3 linked regions of the Elephas maximus indicus genome follow. The protein of the gene in region 2 purifies or fractionates together with the protein of the main gene of each other region. This does not show direct contact. Links are inferred from orthologs where the notes say so. Each region holds a gene or a part of one and is shown on either strand. Other genes may lie near its edges.

The links. The genes of interacting proteins can lie anywhere in the genome.
Region 1: the proteins of DYRK1B (region 2) and PTGES3 purify together in Homo sapiens (affinity purification with mass spectrometry; 3 studies listed by BioGRID and IntAct, with this or other methods). This does not show direct contact. The link is inferred for Elephas maximus indicus from reciprocal best matches to the Homo sapiens genes DYRK1B and PTGES3.
Region 3: the proteins of DYRK1B (region 2) and DCAF7 purify together in Homo sapiens (affinity purification with mass spectrometry; 10 studies listed by BioGRID and IntAct, counting the BioPlex papers as one, with this or other methods). This does not show direct contact. The link is inferred for Elephas maximus indicus from reciprocal best matches to the Homo sapiens genes DYRK1B and DCAF7.

Annotation. Positions count from the first base shown.
Region 1 is NC_064822.1:116,594,317-116,601,796, forward strand, and holds the start of PTGES3 (prostaglandin E synthase 3), read right to left. Parts: upstream 3,001-7,480; 5' UTR 2,630-3,000; coding exon 2,628-2,629; intron 1-2,627. UniProt on the Homo sapiens protein: Cytosolic prostaglandin synthase that catalyzes the oxidoreduction of prostaglandin endoperoxide H2 (PGH2) to prostaglandin E2 (PGE2).
Region 2 is NC_064829.1:111,688,301-111,695,840, reverse strand, and holds the start of DYRK1B (dual specificity tyrosine-phosphorylation-regulated kinase 1B), read right to left. Parts: upstream 3,008-7,540; 5' UTR 2,156-3,007; coding exon 2,077-2,155; intron 788-2,076; coding exon 624-787; intron 1-623. Other genes in the region: FBL (rRNA 2'-O-methyltransferase fibrillarin), read right to left, coding at 3,386-3,410, 3,500-3,645, 4,753-4,865, 5,915-6,047, 6,715-6,885.
Region 3 is NC_064837.1:54,787,012-54,794,967, forward strand, and holds the start of DCAF7 (DDB1- and CUL4-associated factor 7), read left to right. Parts: upstream 1-4,956; 5' UTR 4,957-5,185; coding exon 5,186-5,323; intron 5,324-7,956. Other genes in the region: KCNH6 (potassium voltage-gated channel subfamily H member 6), read left to right, coding at 1-149, 826-1,012, 1,367-1,651. UniProt on the Homo sapiens protein: Involved in craniofacial development. Acts upstream of the EDN1 pathway and is required for formation of the upper jaw equivalent, the palatoquadrate. The activity required for EDN1 pathway function differs between the first and second arches.

The sequences.
Region 1 (7,480 bases), on a different chromosome or scaffold from region 2:
AAGCTGAAGACTGATCAATTCCATGAAAGCTATGTAATGGCAAAGTTAAGATTTTAACCAACGTTCAAAACAGTCACTGTTGTTTCTAGACAACCTACCCACACCCTGCAAGATTAGGTTTGGGTAAGTATTAAAGGCGGGAGAACCAAACCAAACCCACCGCCAGAGTTGGTTCTGACTCACAGAGACACTTTAGGACAAAGCAGAACTGTTCCATAGGGTTCCCAAGGAGTGCCTGGTGGATTCGAACTGCTGCCCTTTTGGTTAGCAGCCAAACTTGTAACCATTATGCCACCAGGGTTTCCCAAATGCAGGTGGGAAGTGCTAAATTCCCACTCTCCTTTAAGTAGGATAGATCCAGCGCTCCTTTCTAAGTCACTTGACAAAACTTTTATAACGTGATTAAGGCTTAAAGAATCTTAACTGGGAAATCACTAATAAAAAGCTTTCAAATACAGGAAAAACACCCAAAATCCTTAAGACATCCAGCATAAACGTCTCTCCACATTAAAAAATAGTTTATTACAGGCATCGACAAAATGAACCCTTATCAGCCAGACTGTTCCTAGGACTAGATGACCCAATCAAAGGTCTCTTCCAACTCAAATAGCTCACTTAAGTTCAACAAGATCTCCAGAAGAACTTACAAGATGGCACATATTGAACAAACAATTTAAAGAGGATGAAATTTACCTGGTTCCCTCAAAGGAACCAAAGAAAAGGTAGAGTCTTGTAAGTATAGCCTATCCACTGCTTTTTTGCAAGTTTGCTACACTTTTCATCTGAGTTTTTACATATCTACATAGCCTTAAGTTTCATTACTTATTAAACCACATTATGCGATCTCCAAAAAGTGTTTTATTTTAAACACGTTATTTCTTCATGAAAAGATTTTTACTTGGCTACATTGTTAAAAAAAAAAATTGGTACTTTTATCTGACAATTTTCTCCTCTACTAAGAATTCCCAAAGTATACAAGGCTTAACCTCTTCAGTAACAACTACTGACTAGGGGAAACTTAAGGGGAGTAATGGGAAGATTTCAACAAAAAATATAAAGCTTACAGTTCTCGATTTATAAACAAACATTTTGGGAAGTTTAATACATACTTCCCTGAATTCAATTAGGATGGACAAGAACTCCACATCAAATTTAGTATTAATCCTACTCTATCTTCCAGACTGACACATTATTTAGAACGAAGATTTCAAAGGGAAAAGTAAAACCTGTTTTATATAGATTCAAATCTTCCATTAGATGCCACTTCTGTGGGAGAAAAAAAATTCTCCAAAATTCTAATATATTCTCACAAGAAAATACATGCTTTATTATTGAGGCTTGTTCTCAGTCATCAATTGGCTATAGCATATCCCTCATTTACACATTTAGATTTCTGGCCCAATATACTCACCATCAAGATCACTGTGTTACTGAGTAAAACTTAAAAATTCAACGTTATTTTGTGTTCAATACGTACCCTTATTTTAAAAAATAATCTATAAATTAAAAAAAAAATTTTGGGCCACAAAGTGTCATTTTTTCATAGGAATAAAAATGGTTCCAGTTTTTTGTTCTCCATATATCACTTTTTGGGTCAGTTAGTAACAAAAACTCTACAAAATCGGCAGTTCTTACATCTGAAAAGGTACACTTTTTCCTAACAATGTATGGTCTAGAAGTGGCAGTACCAAGAATTCTTACTTGGTTAAAATCACCAAGCTTTTGTTATAAGAAAACTAAGATACATAAAAAATCTGTAGTCACCTGCATATAAACAAAAATTTAAACAAGAAAGCAATTACATACCTATTTAATCTTTACTTAAATTGTGGTACCATAATGATACTTCTTCTGAAGTTTTAATGTGAAACATGGAAAATGCCCACAAATATCTTTCGGTTCGACACGTGCAAAACTACCTGCTTAATAGTTTAACTCCTCGCTGCCAGGAACACGGCTGAGTTTTGGCAACTTTCATTCCTTTCAAGAGACTGGAGTTAGGAGAAGGCCCGAAGGACCCATACTCAACAAATCAAGACGCCCGAGAGGGAAGTAAGTCGTGGTGACGGCGTGGTCTCTAGTTGCCTAGCAGTACCAGTCGCTCACGGCGGAGGGCCGCATGGTGCTCCACCAGCGAGCACCATCAGTGTTCTGGTCGCACCCACCACAGGTGCATTTGGCCCAGGGCCTGGTCCTGGCATCACGGAGCAGTAGAACCAGACTGCCCAAGAAGCAAAGTGGCAACCCACGATAGTCCACGCCTCCAGAGCGTCCGCATGGCCAAAAGCTCACAGATTAAGGCCTAAAGCTAAATTACGCAGAGTTACGGGTAACCCAGAGCGCGAAAGGGAGGGAAACTGAAATTTTCCAGCACCGGGGCGCTGAGGGAGGTTTAGAGGGGAGAAAAGCGGCCATGTGGAAGAAAAATATCCTCCACCCGCAAACAGTAACCGGAACAAGGACACTAGACCTCCCATCCCCAGGCAGGAACGACTGCCACCACAGAGGGAAGCATGCAAGCAGAGGAGCGAAGGGGGGGGGGAGTAGGGGCCAGCTTCCCGGCAGCCACCGGCGTGGCCTCGGCCTCCCTCTGAGCCGACCTTCGCTTGGCGGGGTGTCGCACTCACATTGTGAACGGGGCAGGGGACAGGTGGGCGGGCCTCTCTGGCGGCAGCTGCTGGGGAATTGACTCCTCTAGGGTGGCGACTCCGGGATTTTCTCCCCGGTCGTGGCCTCCTTTCGCTTCCTTCAGACGACGGCGGCGGCGGTCGCAGCGGGCTCGGCCTGGGTCCCCAGAATGCAACGCGCGGAGAGAGCGGCTCCTCCGGTCGGAGAGAGGAGGAAAGTGTAGGAAAAGGGGCGCGAGGACAGAGAATGAACGTGCGTGCGTGCAAGCGAGGGGTGGTGAGGCCGGGCGGCGGCTGGTGACGCAGCAAAATACCCGGGCCCTGCCGCCGCGCGTGCGCAGTCCTTGTTTTCGGGCTCCGGCGCGGCTTTCTAGAGATATCTACGGAAAAGGCGGAGCCTCCCAGCTCCTCCACGTTCCTTCCCGGCGCCAGCCCCGCCTTTCATCCTGTACCCCGGTGGCAGTCGTTCCCGCCTCTCCTCCCGCGCGCTCACCTCACCGTAAAAAACCGTTGGCGGACTAACCGCCTGGCCACGCGCCTTTGGCGATTTCCCTGAGAAACGGCTTCAGTGGCCGTGGGAGAAAGGCTGAGGTGGAGGGACGCAAAGAATCGGGAGGCGTGAGAAGTGAAATGGGGAATTGGTCACTCTTGAGGAAATAACCAGCGACTGAGGAAATATTCCACGGCAAAGAAGGATATGAAAAGCCTGTGCTGCTGGGTGGTGGTACTTGCCGAAAAGGGCTAACTTAAGAATTGAGGGCCTGAGTTCACCTCGCCATTTTTTGAAGGGAGGAGGCCATGTCCGGGGGCAAGGGAAATTTGAGGTCTTTGGGTGAGGGGGACTGCTTGCCATTTGGGGCGGGATTTACTCCTACTTTGAGGAGCCCTGGTGTCGCAGTGGTTAAGAGATTGGCTGCTAACCAAAAGGTCGTTGGTTGGGATCCACCAGCGGCTCTTTCGAAAACTGGGGGGCAGTTCTACTTTGTCCTATAGGGTCACTATCAGTTGGAATCGATTGGATGACAAGTTTTTTTTTTGTTTTTTTTTGAGATAGGAGTGCTGCAGGTGAAACAGGATGGATATTTGAGGGGAGAGTCTAGGTTTCTGGGACTGGAGAGACGGACAGTTTCGGTGTTTCCAGGTATATAAATTGGGCGGGGGGGAGGGAACGAACCTCCATCAGTGTTTTAGTCGGCATTTCTTGAGCCGCCGCTTTCGAAAAGACAATGGGTCAGGCTCTAAAGGAGGATAAAACTATTAAAACAGTACATGCTAAGAGGTCACTTAACAGTGGAGTAAGGTTAGAACACAAGGGAAGTTTAAGGAAAGTGCCATACAACGCTTGGAAAGTGTTTAGGGGCTTCATATCTATGAATAAGGTATAAAGTGTCTACATTGTGCAAAGCAGGTATTGGAACTATGGAAGTTGGACCCTATCCTCAAATCTCATTTAAAAAGTTAAATCCCAGATCTTAAATAATGATTCTAAGTCGTTCTAATGGTTGTTGGGGAAGACAAAATGCACAAATCAAGATTATTAAGTACTATTATGGAAATGGAGTACTTGGATGGTGGAAAGGATTAAGGCTCTTGACTGTTAACTGGAAAGGTTGTTGGTTGGAGTCCACTCAGGCTCCTGGGAAGAAAGACCTGGTGATGAACTTCTGAAAAATCAGCCATTGAAAACAGTTCTCTGACTACCTTGAGGTCACCATGAGTCAAATAGGACACAAGGGTAACTATTATGTGCCATGGGGTCTATTCCAACTCATAGTGACCCTATGAGAGAGAGTAGAACTACCCCATAAGGTTTCCAAGGCTGTAAATCTTTCTCCCGGGCTGGTGGGCTCAAACCACTAACCTTTAGGTTAGCAGCCAAGTGTTTAACCACTGTGCCACCAGGGCTCCTTAAGGGCAACCGATATATAATGGAAGTACAAAAAGTAATGGAAACAAAACAAGGAGAGGTTGACTTTGGCTGAAAGGATTAGGACAGACATTGTTAAGAAAAATTTGCTCAAAATTTGGAAATAAGGCAAAGGGTGGAGGGATGGCCTCTTAGTTCATACCAGGACATTATTTAACCTGCCTGCCCAAAGAGTATGTAATAATCTAGGTGAAGGTACTTGTGTTTGACTTTGCTGTTGTACGATTCAAGCTCAGACATTGTGAAGTTACTTGTAGATTTCTAATAGAAAACGTAACCCTGAAGTTAGGTTTTATTGCTCTTTAGGACACTCACCAGCCTTGTTTAACCTAGCCCCTTGATCTAGCTCCGTTTCTTTTTATACCTATAAGTCCCTAGTTCTTTAAATGCTCCTGGAACAAACTTTATCATCTTACTGGGTCTGTCAATGAGTTAAATATTTGGCTCATGTTAACTTATATTTGGGGAAGAGTTATGTTTTTTAATTTTTTTGAAATTCTACTTAGACAGTCTCATGGAGGTGACAGCAGGAATGGGTGACTTTATACGTTCCAGGGAGTCCCTGGCTGTTGCAAACGGTTAAACAGTCAACTACTAGCAGAAAGGTTGGCGGTTTGAACCCACCAGGAGGCACCTTGGAAGATAGGCCTGGCTATCTGCTTCCAAAAGGTTACAGCCTTGAGACTTCTATGGAGCAGCTCTACTCTGCACACGTGGGATTGCCATGAGTCACAATCGACTAGATGGCAACAACAACAACAACAGCACATTTCAGGCAGGAATCTTGATAGGTTAAGAGGTAGAAACAGAAGTATGTCTAGGTCAGGGGCCAGCAAATTTTTCTGTAATGGGCCAAATAATTCCATACTATCTCTGCCACAAGGTCTCATCTCTGCTATTGTAATACAAAATTAACCATAGACAGTATGTAAACAAATGAGTGTGACTGTGTTCCAATAAAATGAAGGATGCTAAAATGTAAATTATAATTTTCACGTTACAAGATATTCTTTTCATTTATTTTAACCATTTAAAAATTTAAAAACCACTCTTAGCTCATAGACCATACAGAAACTGACAACGGCCTGGATTTGATCTGCAGGCTATATATAGTCTGCCAACCCCTGGTTTAGGTAGTCCAGAGTGTAGGGGAATAATTCAAGATAGGGTTAAGAAGGTAGGTCACAACCAGGTAATGGTGTCACTGAATATCAGGCTAATTGTTTTCAATTTATTTCTCTGACAATGGAAACCTGTTGTTTTTTTTGAGTAGATGAGTACTCTTGTGTTCTAGAAAGATTAATTTGGTAACAAAGTATGAGAGGAACTGAATATGAAGGAACTGAATTGAAGCTAGCAGAAGACACCAACCCCAAATTACTGGCAAGTTCCTTTATCAAAAGAAATGCTAGTTTGAAAACAGTGATGATAGTTGTACAACATGATGAACATAATGTCACTGAACTATACAAGTAAAAAAATGTTGAAATGCCAGATGTTTGGTTACATATAATTTTACCACACACACACAGAAAAGTACTGTGGGCAAAACTGCCTTTCACATAACAAATTTTTGAAAATGCAGACCTAACACATCCTAATTCATAGTATATTTTCTTCCCCCCCCCCTCTAATTTGTTCCCCTGTGTCATTCATTGCTAAATATATTTTAAGGAATTTCTGTTATCGTAACCAGTTAACCACTGGGAACCTAAATTGTATCAGGTTTCTTTTCCAAATTCACTAACAAGTTCTTTTGTAGTAGGCAGCAAATTCTAGGTTCAAACTTGGCATTATTACAGTGTCAGGACTTTAGGGAGAGAAATCTGCAGCCTAGATTGGTAGAAACTAGAAAATACTTGGCAAGTATTAGATTCTGCTTCACAAATTTAGTCCTAACAGGCTAAGAGAAAAATTTTCAGACCAGTTTAAAAAAATTGTGAAATGAATTTAGAAACATTTTGTCAATTATAATTGCAGCATCCGAGTTCTCCCTGAGGATAGAATTTAAATATGTGTCCAGAGTCACTAATAGCTAAAGAGAATTTTGTGGATTGACATGAGAAATTTAAAAAATGGTGAGAATAGCTTTATGAAGAGGTTTTCTAATAAGACCAGACCTTGGAGACTGTTAACTTTGTAAACCAAAGAGGGAGGAAACAAAGTGGTAAGACTGTCTTCTGGGTATAGGGAATAAGAAGTTGGCCATACAGCTTAAAGGGGATATCATGGCTTAGCTAAATGGAAACAGCACGGATAGCCCCTTAAATTATATCCTCTGGTGCCACCATTATCTGCCCACAATTTAAAACATACCCTATCAAGCTGTTTTGGTAGTAATGAAAAGGGCTACTGTGTCTTGTGTTGAGATTTATCATGTTCTGAGCTTTGATTTGATGCTACCAGGGTCTCTAATTGTGGGGTGGCATCAGCATGAACAGCTCTAGGGGAAGGAAAAGACTTTAAAAAGCAAATTTAGATTTAAAAAAATACACTGAAACCTACAAAAAATGGTCTTTGGCCCCAAACATCACCTTATGGTCTCTGTGTGTGTGTACACCAGAAAATAAGACTGTAAAAGAGTGATAAATGTTTATAACTAGAGCCTCTGAAATCAGAAGATATCAGGTAATGCAGTTTTAATTTTATGGAAGAGAATATGTTGCAGTTTTGGATAACTGTTTGCCATAAATACTTCATTGTGTCCGTTCAGGGTTAGGAAGTGATCAGAAGAAAGCTACGTATACATTCAGATATCAGATTTGGGAGGAATATTAGCAATACCGTTTGGTTCACCTTGCAGGATAACTGAGTGTATAATGGAATAAGGAAGACATAGGACTAGTTTCGAAGTTAAGGGTGCTTTTTTTTTCCTCCCCTGATATTTAGCTATTGAAATAATTTTTCAGTGTCCCCGTCCTAGGAA
Region 2 (7,540 bases):
CCATTTTGCTTTACCTTCACCCACTGGGGCTCCCCCAACACCTACCCCCCACTGAGCATCTGTACCTAGTTCTTTCACAAGGATCTTGAATCTGGGTCCTGCAGCCTAGACTTCCCACTCCATCCTGCTCAAGCTCTACATTCCAGAGCCTCAGCCACCTCTACCCTTGGAGGTCTTTATCCTGATGGTCCCCAAGCCCTTCAGTCTCAGCCCTCCTCCCCACCCACTCCCTCCAGATCTTTCACTCAGGACTTTTTTCCTTAGTGAATATTTGGTATTTACTACGTGCCAGACACTGTTCTTACCATCGCACACGCATTTCATTAACTTGTTTAATCCTCACAACAACCCTGTGAGACAGATATCATCATTATCGGCCCCATTTTACAGATGACAAAACTGAAGTGTACGGGACATAAGTAATTTAACTACAAAGTCAAGACATGGACTGAATTCTTCATACCTTAACTCTGCCGATGCCTCTTCTATTAACTTTCACTCCCAATGGGGCCCTGACACCCTAAGGAGACTGTCAGGCAATCATACTGTTTCTTTTGCCCTGAGACCTTTCTCTCCCCAGTATCCCCGACCCCAGGCAGGTAAGGAGCCAGCCAAACGCGTACCTGCGGGTGCTCCTGGGGCCCCGGGAAGCCAGAGAAGGGACCATGGCCCGGTGGGACGGCCATGGTGGGCTCAGAGGGCCGCAGGGGAGCGAGGCCTGGAGCGGGAGCCCGGCCGGGGGGCGCCTTCTCGCATCCTGCACCTCGGCTGCCACCGCCGCTGAGACCTGGGAGAAGGCAAGGAGGCAGGGGAACAACATGGAACAAGAGAATATGTGGGATAGTGGCAGGCAGGAAAGAGGTGGGCACAGACAGAAGGCAGGGACTCAAACGGAGGAGGAAAAGGGTACCACAGAACACAGGTGGCGATGAAGAGAAGAGACAGAAAGCAGTAGCAGACAGGTGGAAAGGGGTTACACAACAGAAGCCCTCAACAAATGACCAAGTAAGTGAATGACGTGGAACAAAGACAAGGGCATGCAAAAGGAACGGGGAGGAGCGATGCAAGAGCAGGGAGTGGTGGTGGGGGTGTATAGGCCACAACAGGGAAGGAGAACAAAAAGACATGGATAATGGAGGGGAGGAAAAGAGAAAAAAAAAAAAGAAACTAAAGACAGTATGGGGAGTAGGGTTTGTTCGTTCCATTTCTACTTGGGCCCTCCCCAGGGCCCCCTCCGCAAAATCTTGCCCCCTTATAATCTTCCCCAACCATCAGGATCTCATCCCATTATCACAGCAAGGTCCCTTCACTACAAGATCTACCGTTCCCAGTAGCTCCCCCAATCCAGAGAACTCTGAAGTCCACCCAAACCACACCAGAGTCCTCTGAGTTCCCCTAAATCACAGTAGTGTCCTCTGCAGGTCCCTCAAATCCACATCAGGGTCCTATGGAGACCTCCCAACCACACCAAGATTATCTGAGAAACTGTATCACAAAAGTCCTATCTCTGTGGCAGCCCGCCAGGGCACATCTTTCCCAGCAGACCCTCAGTACTTCATGCTGAGATCTGTTCCCCTTGTAGGCCTTCCCACATCAGGAAACACTCCTCCAGATAGTCTCCCTACACCGTATCCCAGTTCCTCCCACCACATCAGAACTCTTCCCCACATTGCTGCAAAGTCCCCCTCCCAATCAAGGCCCGCTCTCCTGAGGGGAACAAGGAGGAGGTGTCTCTTCCAGTGGCTTACGATGATCTTCCTTCTCTCCTCTATAATGAATCCTCCCTCTACCCAATGTTCCCATTGGAGCCCCATCTCCTGTCACCTCTTTCTATACTGGGGTCATCCCACAGCGATGCCCCTTCTTAGGAGACTCCCAAAGCTCAATTCCCCAAATACTGCAGGGTGTTCCAGGGGGTCCGACAAACCAAAGTCCCTCTCCCCAAGTCTAACCATGTCAGGTGTCCTCCTATCCCAGGCCTTGCCACTCCATGAACACACCCCGTCTCTTGAAGCTTCCCTCCCTAAAGGTTCCCCCTCCAAAACAACTTCTTTCCCGGGGCCCTCCAACCCCTACCCGCGTCAGGGCTGGTGCGCGGCCCACGGGGGGCTGGAGCGCGGTGGGGCCCCCAGTGAGGCGGGCGGACGGCCAGCATGGCGGCGGTGGCGGCAGTGAGGAGGCGGCCGCCTGTCCCTGGCCTGGGCGGCCCGGCAGGCCCCGCGGCGGGGAGGGCAAGCGGGACAGGCGGCCCGGTGGGTGACAACAGCAGCCGCCGCCAGGGGCGGGGAGAGGAGGGGACGAGGGTCAGCTCGGGGCACGCGGGGGAAGGGAAAGCAGGTGGATGGGGGGAAGGGCGGGTTAACCCTCGCAAGGCCGACCCCACCCCGGGCGGCCACCCGCCCCTGGGGACCCTGGCGTCCCGCCCCCCACCCTAGAGGCCCGCCCCGCCTGCAGAGACCCAGCGGGCGGGGCAAGACTGAGTTTGGCAGTCCGCACCCTGCCATGGCAACAACCGTACCATTGGCCACCGCTGCTACGAGCTCAACCAATCACAGCCCAGGGCAGTTGTTGCTAGGCGACGACGATGCGGCCGGCGGAGCTGAGCCCAAACAAAGGGCGGGAGCGGGGCCCAGCCACCCCTTCCCGACCTCCCTTCCAAGACTGCTCCCTCGGTTCAGCCCCTTCCAGGAATCCGACTATGAATAGCCAGGCTCGGCTGGCACACCAGCCCGATTCCCCCTCCCTTCCTCTCCTCCTCCCGCGTCCCTGTGCTCAGTCTCGAGGCGACGCGGGCAGGGCGGGTCCCGCCCTTCCCCCTCCCCGCCAGCTCGTGCCGCCCAGCCAGTCACTGCGTCGTTACCTGAGGGCGCGGGCAAGGGGACTCAAGTTGCTCGGGAAGCCCGAGCTCAGACCTGCCCACTGGCTGAAGGTACCCGTCGGACGCGGCGAGCCAGGGCCCCGATTACCCAGTAATGCAACCAGCAAAATGGCGACCACAACAAACCGGCCCCCCTCCAGACTCCGCCCCCACCCCCCCATCCGCTCCCCCTCACGTGACCAGCGCAGCCCTCCGCGCCTGCGCCCAGTGGGCACTACCCGCAGACATGCGCAGTGAGCCACCGACCCCACCTAACGCCGAATTCCGGGTTACGGCTGCGCACCAGGGCTCCCTGAGAGGGCAGCTAGAAATGGAGCATGCGCTGTGTGATCAGATGAGCATGCCCCCGCCCCCAACGAGGTGACCATGGGCGCATGCGCCAAGTTGTCTACAGCGGCAGCCACAGAGCGACCAGCAGCCAACTGAGGTGACGGATGAGTCTTTTTAATAGAAAAACACACGTGCAACAGCAACAACACTATCTCACAATGCAGACAGCACCGGGCTTCAGTTCTTCACTTTGGGGGGCGGCCTGTGAGAGGGAGAGAGAAAACGAGGGGTCATAGCCTGCCCCCGGAGCCCTGAGCTGCACGATCCGGTGGGTGACTGGGCCCTGCTCACCTGTACACACCCACGACCACAGCGTGGTCTCTTTCGTATGGCTCGAGGGTCAGCTGCTCCTGGGGCTTCATGTTCTCCTGCTGCATCTTCTTCACTTCAGAAGCAAACACGGCCTCTGCAGAGGCTGTGGAGTCAATGCAGTTGGCCTACAGGAGGAGACGGAATCGAGTCCGCCGCAGGACTGCGGGCTGGTTTCCCCTTTTTTGTGCTCTTTCAACCACAGGGACTTGTTTCCGATGGAAACGGGGTAAAATCAGGCCCCAAACAAAACCCCAGTATCATTTCTGACTGTTCTGCAGCAAAAAGATCACCGCCACTGAAAACCCCATGGAGTGCGTTCTACTCTGAAACACGTGGAGTCACCACGAGTCGGAGTCAATGGCAACCGGTCTGAATTTTGTGGTGTATGGCAGGGTTTTGGAAACGTGGGGAAAATTTCCGTTATATAACAAATTTAGGAAACCCCGGCAGCACAGTGGTTAAGAGCTACAGCTGCTAACCAAAAGGTTGGTGGTTCAAATCCACCAGGCACTCCTTGGAAACTTTATGGGGCAGTTCTACTCTGTCCTACAGGGTTGCTATGTAGTTTGTTTGAATTTGGACCCAAGGCTTTAAACAAAACCCTGTTTACCTAAAAGCCAGCTTTAAGTTTTATACCCCAGCTTTTTTCCTTCTTCCATTAAAAAAAGAGTAATAATACAGCTTTGAGAACAACACAAATACAGGAAAAGGGTAACAAATGGTGAGTCTAAGTAAAGGGTCCACAGCAGAGTTCTCTGTATTTCAGAATAAAAAGTTTTAAAAAATGCACCTAACATTTAGATTTGCCTAGTGTTTATTCAACGCCAGGCTCTGTCTGTACACTTCACAGATACTGATACATTTAATCCTGACGTCAGCCCTAAAACAGATAAGACTAACATCTCTGTTCTACACATGAACAAACAGAGGCACACAGAGGTGAATGACTTGCTCCAAGTCACACAGCATGGTGGGATTCAAACTCAGCAACCATGCCCTTGACCACTATACTCTATTACCTCTTAAAATACAAAGCTTTTAGTTTTACGGACTTTTTTTTATACTACGTGTTATTTCATGGGGAGTGGGAAGCCAGCATAGGAACAGAGTTTGGGAATGGACTGACTGGATTAGAGGGGAGGCAGGCCTCTTTGTTTTGACTGGCTGCTTGTCAGACACGGAAGACTCCTTGGGATGCTCCCACTCATCTTAGACTTCCACAAGACTCTCACCTTAATAGAAATCACAAAGTGTCCTCCGTTACGCAGGAAGGTGTGGGCATTCAGAGCCACAATCCGGGTCTGGTCAGGCTGGGCCACGTCAGCAAAGATCACATCCACCATTGCTAGGGAGAGAGGAATGGCAGTTATTAAATGTTGGGCCCACAGGGAGATCTTCCCATCCCCCCCTGGGGCCTATGCCCCATTGCCAGCAGGTACCTGGCAATTTCCCTGCCTCCAGTCTCACTCCCCTGCCACTGACTCCCCCTCCCCCCGCCCTAGTGCCCCCAAGGTGGGTCCAAAACCCACGGTCACATCACTTATTCTCTACTCTTGTAAACCATGGTTGCCACCTACTCTGTGACCAGCCCCAGGCTGGGCGTGGGGGGCACAGAGACGAGTTAGACCCTGGCACTGCCCTTGAAACGCTCCTGGGTCTGGGGCAGTAGGGGAGGTGGACACACAAGTCATCAAAAAGGCAAGTGAAGGTGAACACTGACAGGCAAGGGCGTCTGCAGCATTGTCAATGAAAAGTTGCAGGACAGGGGCATGGTATGGGTGTGTGGAAAAGGAAAAGAAAGAAGAACAAGGGAATGAAAAAGTAATGTTTTTAAACCAGTGTGATTTAAAACAAACAACAGCAACAGAAAAAACAACACTTAAAAAACTGAAAAGGTGGTGTAATGAAAACTGACTCTGAAGAATCAGGAAAAGCACGTACCCAATTGTTCTCATCAATGACCTCTTTTGAATTTTTTAAACGAAGTCAATATTCACACCAGGCCCCTCCGGGTCAGGTCCATGCCCAGCTGGTGTTTTATGGTTATGACCTCACCAGACAAGGAGGCCCCTGGAGGGCGCTTTTAGTCACAGGTGAGGGGCAGTATAAAAGCACCATGTTTATACACAAAGAGGGGCGGTATAAAGGTACCATGTTTTGGAAGGAGGTGCGAAGCACAAGGAGGGGCAGCTCAGAGAGAGGAGAGGCCAGACCCTGAAGCTGGGCCGCCACCTCTGCAATCTCACCCAGTTCCCTCACCCCTTGTCATTCCTGCGGACTCAAGAGGCCTGTCCGTCCACTCCATCTGAATCAGGGCTCAGATGATCTCTCCCAGAAAACTTGGCTCTTGAAGAGCCTGTCCTACCCGACCTGGGCCACTGCCAGAGCCCTCACCAATAAGCATGCGGTATTTGTGCGGGTGCCGAGCGTCCTCAATGACAGGGATTATGTTGGTCCTCTTCTTGGCCAGGTTGATGAGGTCACGTCCAGAACGGTGGGAAAACTCAACTGCATAGACCAGACCATCCTAGGACAAATCAAGTGATAACAAACGATACTAATTCTCATCTACGGAACTCCTACTTGGGACCCACGCGCTGCATGCAGCATCTCTTCAAATCCCCCAAAATCAAACCCTACCATTAAATGACTACTGTTATCGTGCCCATTTTATAGACAAGTAAACTGAGGTCCAGAGGCATGAAGTCAATGCTCAAGGGCTATTCAGCAAGTGGCCAAGCTCGACATTACACTGCCTGCAACCATGTGACTGAGCAGAGGCCATGAAGTGAGATGTACAGGGGCCTCTAGATGGAGCCTGTACCCACACACTGCAATGCAGCCCAATAGCGTCAGAATTCTTGTTCTATCAAGAGAAACTGGAGAAGCAGATTGGGGGGAGCATGAATTTTTAAAGAGACCAATCAATTCATCTGATTATCTACACTTCCAGCTCTGGGCCCCTTTTATTCTGGTTGCCCTGACTCCCACACCCCTTCCTTCAAGGCTAAGAACCCAGGAGTGTGGCTGAATGAGGCTTTGGTGGCCATCTAATCCAAGCAGCCATTTCTACCCACAGGCGCTGTCAGAGGGCAGGGCCTGGCTCCATGCACAGTGCGGGGAAGCGCCCATGCCTGACTCCACAATAGTGCCAACAGGAGGCAGCCTTTCCCTCTGCCCGCCTCACCACTTACCTGGCCTACGATGTCAGAGACGTGGGAGACAGTGGTGCCTGAGGCAGCTCCAAGGTAAAGCACCTTGGCCCCCGGCTTGATGTGGATCTGGTCCACACCACCCAGGATCGCTGCTGCCAGCTTTGAGCGGAAGGGGTTCCAGGCGCGGTACTCAATTTTGTCGTCTCCTTCCTGGACCAGGAGAGACGGGGATGGAAATCAGTGCTGGGCTCTTCCCTGAGGCCCCACGCCCCTTACCCTGGGGCCTTGAAAGCGACTGGGCGTTTAATGACTATGCAAGTGATGAATGTGGGTATGCAGCAGTGGCCATGACAGATGCAACTGTGGAGTTAACAACTCAGGGAGATGGGGTGGCAAGAGACGATAAACACAGAGATACCGAGATTGTCTCAGGTTGGTAAGGCCTGCAAAACCACTCAGCAAGCGCTTACTGTGCTGCGTGCCAGCCCCTGATCTAGGCACTGGGAATACAACAGTGAACACGACAAAGATCCCTGCTCTCAAAGAGTAAGTATACAAGGAGCTAACTAAATTAAAAAAAAAAACACCTGGCACAGTAAGATGGTGACAGGTGAAAAGGAGAGAGGACAAAGCCGGGAAGAAGACATGAAGTATAGGAAGTAGGGCAAGGGAAGGGGAAAACGAGAAAGGGGAGCCAAAGGTGCATTGTGCAGAAGGTGTCTGGGTCAGCCCTAAAGGCGATGAGGAGCCGGTCAGGCTATCTGGGGAAAAGCATTCCAGGGAGAGGGGAGGCAGGCGGGAAGCACTGAGGCAGGAGAGCGCCTGGCCATAAAGGAAATGGCAAGGGACACTAGGATCCGTCAGA
Region 3 (7,956 bases), on a different chromosome or scaffold from region 2:
CTGAGCACCTCAGACACATCTGGCATCTGGCCTGAGTTGCTGCAGCAAGTGCCCCCAAGGCACAGCCCCCGAAACCCTCAGGGAGGCTCGGACGGTTGGCCTCGTGAGCTAGGCTCCAGGCTGGAACAGCTCCAGGCCCAGCTAAACAGGTGAGTGCCCTGAGGGCTTAGGCTGGGGGAGCTGCAGAGGGCGGGCCCAGCAGCTAGCTGGGCACGGGTGCCCCCTCCTGGTGGCTCAGTGACATCATCAGGTACCCAGTGGTTTTTAGCATGGCGGGCCCCATTTAGTGGCAGGTCTCCCCATCCGTATGTTACTAAGGACAATTCTTTGGGTGCCTTCCCTTGGAAAACCCTAGACTGTGCCAAGGAAGGCTTCTTGGGGGGTGGGGCCGCAATCATGTGCAGAAACATAAATTCCATGGGCCCTTGGAAAAGGGCATGGCCTGTGGATGGTGGGAATTTGGAGCAGGATGGTCTTGAGTTCAAATTCTGGCTCTGCAGCGCACCAGCTAGAGTATGGGCAAGTTACTTAACCACTTGGAGCCTCAGTTTGCTCTTTTGTGAAATGGGGATAATCAGAATAGCCATGTCAAAATGTCACTATGAGGACTGAACAATGTGTGCATGGGGCCTGTTCATTGTTGTTACCAGAGTCAGGGACATGCTAAGCGGAGTTTGGGCAAAGGCTGCAGATCCCAGTGGGAAATGGCTTCGAGTAGGCCCCAAGCTGCCATAACCCCAAACTGAGAGCTGGCCTCAAGCCCTGAACTGCTCTCCCCCACCCTGACCCTGACCCTGACCCTGACTGCGGGGCTCCGTCTGGCAGGCTAGAGTTCCGCATGGCCTCAGACCTCAGTCACATCCTGAAGCTCCTTCAGCAGCCTCTGCCACAGGGCCACCCCAGCTATATCCTGGGAGCCCCTGCCTCCAAGGACCTGGCCTTGTTTCCTGTGACCTCAGCAACTCCAAGACCAGGTCCCAGGCTGGCCCAGGGCCATCTGCCTCCTGCACAGGTGAGCAGGTGAGGGACCCCCAGGGGCTTTCCTGGAGGTAGCTGCTTGCTTTCCCACACCCCCAACTCGTTCCAATGTGGCTTCAGGCTCAGGGCCTCTGTGCTCCTAGAGCAGCTGTGGCTTCTGTTGTCCCCCTTTATGGCTTGAACCATGACAGGGCAGCCTGGACGGGGCAGCGGCAAAGTCCAGAAAGTGACCACAGACCCCCAGCTGGGGCAAAGGTAACAGGACCCTGTGCTGTGAAGGAGCAGGCACACCTCCAGCCAGCCCCCACCCCTGAAGTTGGGGTGGCTTAACCCATAGCCTGGCCTGGGAGGCTCTTCACACTGCATGCCTCTTTCTTGCCCCTCCCAGACCCCAGGCTGTGGTGACTTGGACCAATGTAGGCTGACGCACAGGAATGCCTCCTCCAGGATGCATCACCTGGTCGTGGCAATGGACAACCCCCTGACACCATCCTTGGAACAGGAGCAGCCCCAGGGGCTCCTGTCACCCTTGGCCTCACCTCTGTGGGACACAGACGGACAGGGACTTGTCTGTGGTCCCCGCTTCCCCTCCCTCCCTGAACACCTTGGCTCTGTCCCCAAGCAGCTGGAGTTCCAGAGATATGGCTCAGATCCTGGATTTGCAGGGTGTTAAAGCTACTGAATCCCAAGATAAAAGACACCATGAGAGGACTGAAGGTGGGTGAGAGTTGAGGATCCTCAGGGAGGCAGACAGCCTCCAAAATGGGCCTCTGAAAATCATTCCCCTAGAGTAGGTTCATACTGGTAACCCAGGTGACCCAAAAGGGCACGGTGAAGAGACTCTGGACTTTTCCCACCCTCCCCCAGGGCTCTGTTTAGACAGCAAGCCTGGTGAAGGATTGGGAGGGGGAGTGACTCTGATGTGCAGGTAACTTACAGGAGTGAGGGGTCAGTGAGGTAAAGAGAAGTTTCTGATCTGTGTGAGAGTCTTGCTCTGGGCTCGGCAGGATTATCCCTCAACTCAGAAACAGCCCCTGTACGTGGCCCAGCAACCACGGCCCAGGATCGATCAGGCCTCCTGCCGAGAGCCTCTGACCCAGCTGGAGGTGAAGGTGCCCTCTGTGGTAGACATGCCAATTCACAGAGCTCCAGCCCTCAGCTGCTTCACCCCTAACAGTTCTGTGATGACCTTTGGGCCCCTTCTGGGCAGTGGAGTGCCACACAGTTAATAAATTCGGCACATTTCCTGTTTAGCCAGGTATGTAAACTTACCTGAGGGTCATCAGGTCCTTGACTGTGCCATGACTCCAACATCTGTGGTTTTCCCCAAGCCCTTCTCACAAAGAGCTGGGGGTTCATCCTCCAAATCTACCATGTTGGGGACCTGAAGGTGGCTCCGCTGAGCCCAGGAGCCCTTGGAGCATAGCCAGGCTAGGGCGAAGGGAAGCAGAGAGGTGCTGGCTTGGTGGCCATCTGGAATCATGACAACAGCCAACACTCCCGTGGCACTCACCCCGTGCTGGGCACCACGCTGACTGCTCTGAAGATATTCATTCATCTAATTCTCCCAACAACCTTATGGGGTCAGTATAATTATTCCCATTTTAGAGATGTGGAATCAGTAATCAGAAACTTACCTGAGTATGAGGGGGACTTCTGGGTGCTGATGTTGTTCTGTTTCTTGATCTGGGTGCTGGTTACATGAATGTGTGTTCATGTCGTTAAAAAATATGTACACTTCTATGTGTAAATTATACTTCAATTAAAAAATAAAAAGAATCTTGCCCAACACAGTAGGAAAAGGAGGACATAACTTCAACCCAAGGAGCAGCAGCCCTGGTGGCACAGTAGTTAAGTGCTCAGCTGCTAATTGAAAAGTTGGCAGTTTGAACCAACCCATCTGCTCCACGGGAGAAAGACTTGGTGATCTGCTCTTATAAAGATTAACAACAATAACAAACCTGTTGCTGTCGAGTTGATTCCAACTCATAGCCACCCTGCAGGACAGAGTACAACTGCCTCATAGGGTTTCCAAGGCTGTAATCTTTACCGAAGAAGACTGCCACATTTTTCTCCTGAAGAGCAGCTAGTGAGTTCAAACTACTGACCTTTCAGGGGCCGAGCACTTTAACCACTGTGCCACCAGGCTGTCCTACTATGTCACATGGGGTCGTTATGAGTAGAAAATCAACTTGATGGCACCTAAATTTTTTAACAAAACAATTTCAACCCAGATAGTCTGGCCTGACAGCCTGTGCAGTTAGCTGCAAAGGGCTATTGTTCAAAAAGGTCCTCATCACTGGTCTTCAGTTATTTTGCACAAATATTCTCTAAAGGAAATCTGACATCTTTTGAAGTTGACATCTGAATTGTTTCATTGGTAAGTTTAAATTGTCGCAAAGGATGTAATTTCCATTGGGTTGTAAATATTGACACAACTGTACTGTTTTGTCCCTCATTTATATTGATCCATTTGCATCCAAATAGCTTAGTGACTTGAGAGCCACCATGGGCCATTTTAAAGACACAAGAACAAACCTTCTTCAACATCATTCCTTTTTCTCTTCAAACTCGTAATTCCATTCTAGCCACCATCCCCATTTTATGCACCATGTAATTTATTTTCATGCTTCAAAGTCTATTATTGAGCATCCTATCATATCTGCTTGCAACACAAATATGTATATAAACTGAAATTTTAAAATTAAATTTTGTAAACTTACTAAGGCTTTATTAGTAGTACCGAGTTGTTTAAAACAACAAATATATATTCACATTTTTATAAAAATTAACATTTTATTGGAAATGCACCTCTTAAAGAGATTGCATGGGGATTTTTTCCCCCAATTAGTTAGTTCATTTATCTGTGGATGAATATCATTTTTTAAGAGGATAAGACAAAGTTCAGCAACAGTTTTGTTTGTATTTTTCTTTTTTTTATTAAACTTAAGCACAGAGAAAACTTGCTCACACAAATAAGATGGGACTGGAAGGGATTTATTAAAACGTCACTTAATTCTTTCAATTCTTTCCAAGTTGTCTGTTAAAAATCACATCGACCATTAAAAATTATATTTAATGATATCATCTAACAATCCACTACAATCCTTCAATTTTGTTGAAAGCAAAGAATTGGAAACCATGTAAAGTATAAAAAGTTGTTACCCAGATTCGAGACCTGCATTTTCTCCATTTCAAACTCACAGCGCAGATAAATTTAAGGCTTGATTGACATACGCCTTGGGATGCGCTGCGGGGAAGGGATGGGCATAGACAGAAGCTTAGAGCCAAGCTGGTCACGTTGCTGCTAATTGAGGACCAACCGGAGAATTCAATTCGGAGATTTTTCTGGAATTGCAGGAAAGCGCAGGCAGGCCTCACTGAACCCGGCGTGGTCCTAACTAAGCCATCGGTCGGTCTGCAAAAGGCGTGCCGGAGGCCTTTCCTTTAGACACTGGGAAAACGCTGCCCGGGTTCAAAGGGGCGTTGGGACGAGTGGGAAGGGAGGGTGACTCCTGTTTGGCGCGGGCCAAGCTGCCTGGCCGCAAGGCCCCCCCATTATTGCAGAATTTTAATTTTACTCGACAGCTTGGGGAGGCCGCTCAGAATAGAAGCAGCAGAGGGGAGGTCAGAGCAGGTCACGCAAGAGGTTTCATTCTCAGAGACTTGACCTAGAACTTGGAGACCTGCTGCCCGGCACGTTGAACTCTATATCACCCACGCCCCCATTCACCAGCAGTGCACCGTTATCTCTCGGACTGACATTTGTACCAGCCAATGGCCTTCGGGTCTGCGAAAGCCCCGCCCCATGATTGGGAGGGGCGAGAAATTGGAGTGACGTAGTGAGGAGGTGTCAAAACCTCCGGGCACAATAACCAATCAGGCGAAGGAACTGTTCGAAAGGACGTGTCAGGCAGCCAACGGCCGGCGACGCTGCGCGGGTCGCGTGGCTTCCGTTCCGAGTGGGCGGGGCGGTGTCCCAAACGGAAGGTGGTTTTTGTCGGTGCCGAAGCTGGTTTGAAAGTGGGGGTCGGGCCAGGCCGCCGTTGTCTGTCGCCGCGGCCCCGCTTCCGGGCTAGGCTGTCCCTGCCTGCCCCGCCTCCCTTCAGACCCCTCGGTCCCAGGCTCGGCTCCCCGCCCAACTCGCGCCCCGCCCGCTGCCTCCGACTGCGGACCCGGCCCGCACTGCGGCCCAGCCGCCGCCACCATGTCCCTGCACGGCAAACGGAAGGAGATCTACAAGTATGAAGCGCCCTGGACGGTCTACGCCATGAACTGGAGCGTGCGGCCCGACAAGCGCTTTCGCCTGGCGCTGGGCAGCTTCGTGGAGGAGTACAACAACAAGGTGGGCCGGGCAGGGGCTCGGAGCCCAGCTGGCGGGGAGCGGGCCCCGGGAGCGCCCTTTCCGGGCCGGAGCCCAGACCCCAGAGCCCTCCTGCGGACTTGCCTTGGCGTCCTGGAGCGGTTCCTGTGTGTCTTGCCCGGTGCTGAGGGTTTTGCACTCGTTGTCTCATTTAATCCTGGCAGATTCCCGTGTAGTCGGGAGTGTAGTTACCTCCGTTTTACTGATGGGGAAACTGAAGCACAATATCGTGACTTGCTGAGCTAGGCAGCTATTTCATGGCCGAAACAGATCTGAAACCCGAGCTTCCACGCCAAGGCTACACCGTTTATCTTTTTCAACCGCCTCCCCTCCTGCCGCATTGCTTCAGTTTGGGGGGCGGGGGTGGGAGGAATTAATGGCTGTGAGGGAAAATGCAGGCATTAGAGTTGGTAGCCCTTCACTTCTGGCACAGACTTCCCCCTCCCCCCACTCCCATCCCCAGATACTATTCATGGTTCCCCTGGCCCTTCTGCCAGGAGTGCCATCGCTATTGCTGCCTGATAGCCATTCCTTCCAAAGCGATGTCTTTTTGAAAGTCTTGGCCCATGGCCATGATCCCGTCATTGTTTCCTAAATAGAGAAGGATGACACTTTGCCTTATCTTTCCTTGGCTCCTTTCCTGCTAATACAGATGTGTAACCTTGAGTAGTAAGTCTTTCTGGGCATCCATCAATTTGAGAGTCCTTCATAGAAGCGTTGGTAGTAGGGGAAGCTTTTACGCTGGCAGTGCAGCATACGTTTATTTTCTGAAGTTGTTGAATAAGGAATTTTCTTTCCTTTATTCTTTAAGCTCTTCCTTTTATTGTATCAGAGTAAAAGTTGTGATTGATAGTGATCAGAGCAACTGAAAGCCTTGGCTGTTGATATTTAGAGCCAGAGCTCCCGCTTAAACCATGAACACCAGAAAACTAAAATTATGTGGAGAGTGACAGGCATGGCGCAGAGGGAAAAAGTCACGCTGTCTAGGGTCAGGTCCTGTCTGGTCCCTTGATTAGCTGTGGGGCATTGCACAGGGCAGTTGTATTTCTGACCCACAGTTTGTTGTAGGAAGGAGGTTTCTTTTTACATGTGATGGTCTTGTAGAAAGCATTTGAAATGTTTATATTTCTTTTGTGTGTAGTTTTTCAGGAGCACATCTGTTTCTTTAGAGTAGGTCGTAACTACTTGGGAGTCCCCTTTGAGAAAACGTTGAAAACAATGGACTTTGCTCAGATATTGCACGTGAACAATTTACAAATCTCAAGGAGTACAAACTGATCTCGAAGCCCACCCACTGGCCACAGAAAACGGAGAATCGGGAGCAAGACATAGCTTTATTTCCTTTTCTCTGGTGATTTTTATTCCTTATGGAGCATAGTGGATGGCAGAGCTGGAAAAGGAATTTAAAGCCCTGGTGTGGAAACCAGATTATTAAAATTAAGACCACTAGAACTATTGTTAAGGGTACATGTTAAAAAAAAAAAGAGGTAAAATATGACTTCCAAAGGGCATATGAGTCTTTTCACACAAATTGATAATTTTTTTCTTGCAAGTATTTCCAGGGTTAATTTGGGTAAGAAGTCATAGTCTCATTTCTAAGAGAGGGAAAACTGAGTCACAGTTAGGTTACCAAAGAATCTGTGGAATAATTGGTGTTAAATCTCGGTTTTGGGAACTCTGCCCCCACATTCGGCCTTCCATTCAGCAACCGTATGGAGCTCCTTCTTTGTGTTGGGCACACAAGCAATGTTGCCTTAGTAGTAAAATGCAAACTAATAATCCCAGTAGTAACAGAATAAGCAGTTGACTGTGTTTTAACTCTGAGTCCCTGAGTGGGACAAACAATGCATTCAGCTGCTATTAGTGGTTGGAGTCTGGCAACGTGGGGTCGTCATGAATCAGAGCCGACTCGCTAGTAACTGGTTTGGTTTTTTGGCTTTATATTTGAACTCATTTATGTGATGTAGGCATATTATGGAAACCCTGGTGGTGTAGTGGTTAAGTGCTACAGCTGCTAACCCAAGGGTCGGCAGTTCAAATCTGCCAGGTGCTCTTTGGAAACTCTACGGGGCAGTTCTACTCTGTCCTATAGGGTCACTAGGAGTCGGAATTGACTTGACGGCAGTGGGTTTGGTTTTTTTGGGTTTTTCTAGGCAAATTATTTTTGTGTCTCCATCTATCTGTAGTTCAGGGTTCTTAGCTTTTGTGTGTGTGTGTTGTGTATGTGTGTGCCATGGACACCTTTGACGATCTAAAGTCTATAGCCTGCTTCTCAGAATGATGTTTTCAAATGCGTAAACATATATAGGATTACAAAGGAAGCCAATTATATTGAACTATAGTTATCAAAACTTTTGAAAAGTGGTGATAAAGTAATATGTGCTTTTAAATTAACTCATTAAATTGTATCATCTAGTGTAATTGTTATTGTAATTTTGAAATGGTTATGAAGGTAAACAACTTTTCATAATATATTTCACAAATATAATGTGATATGAAAAAATCAATGATTTCTATTGGTGACAAAGTCACGGATATTGCTAATGCTGCTGTGGGTGACTGCCTCCATTTGTAATTAAAAGAAATGCTTAATTTCAGCTAGAGATTGATGAAAA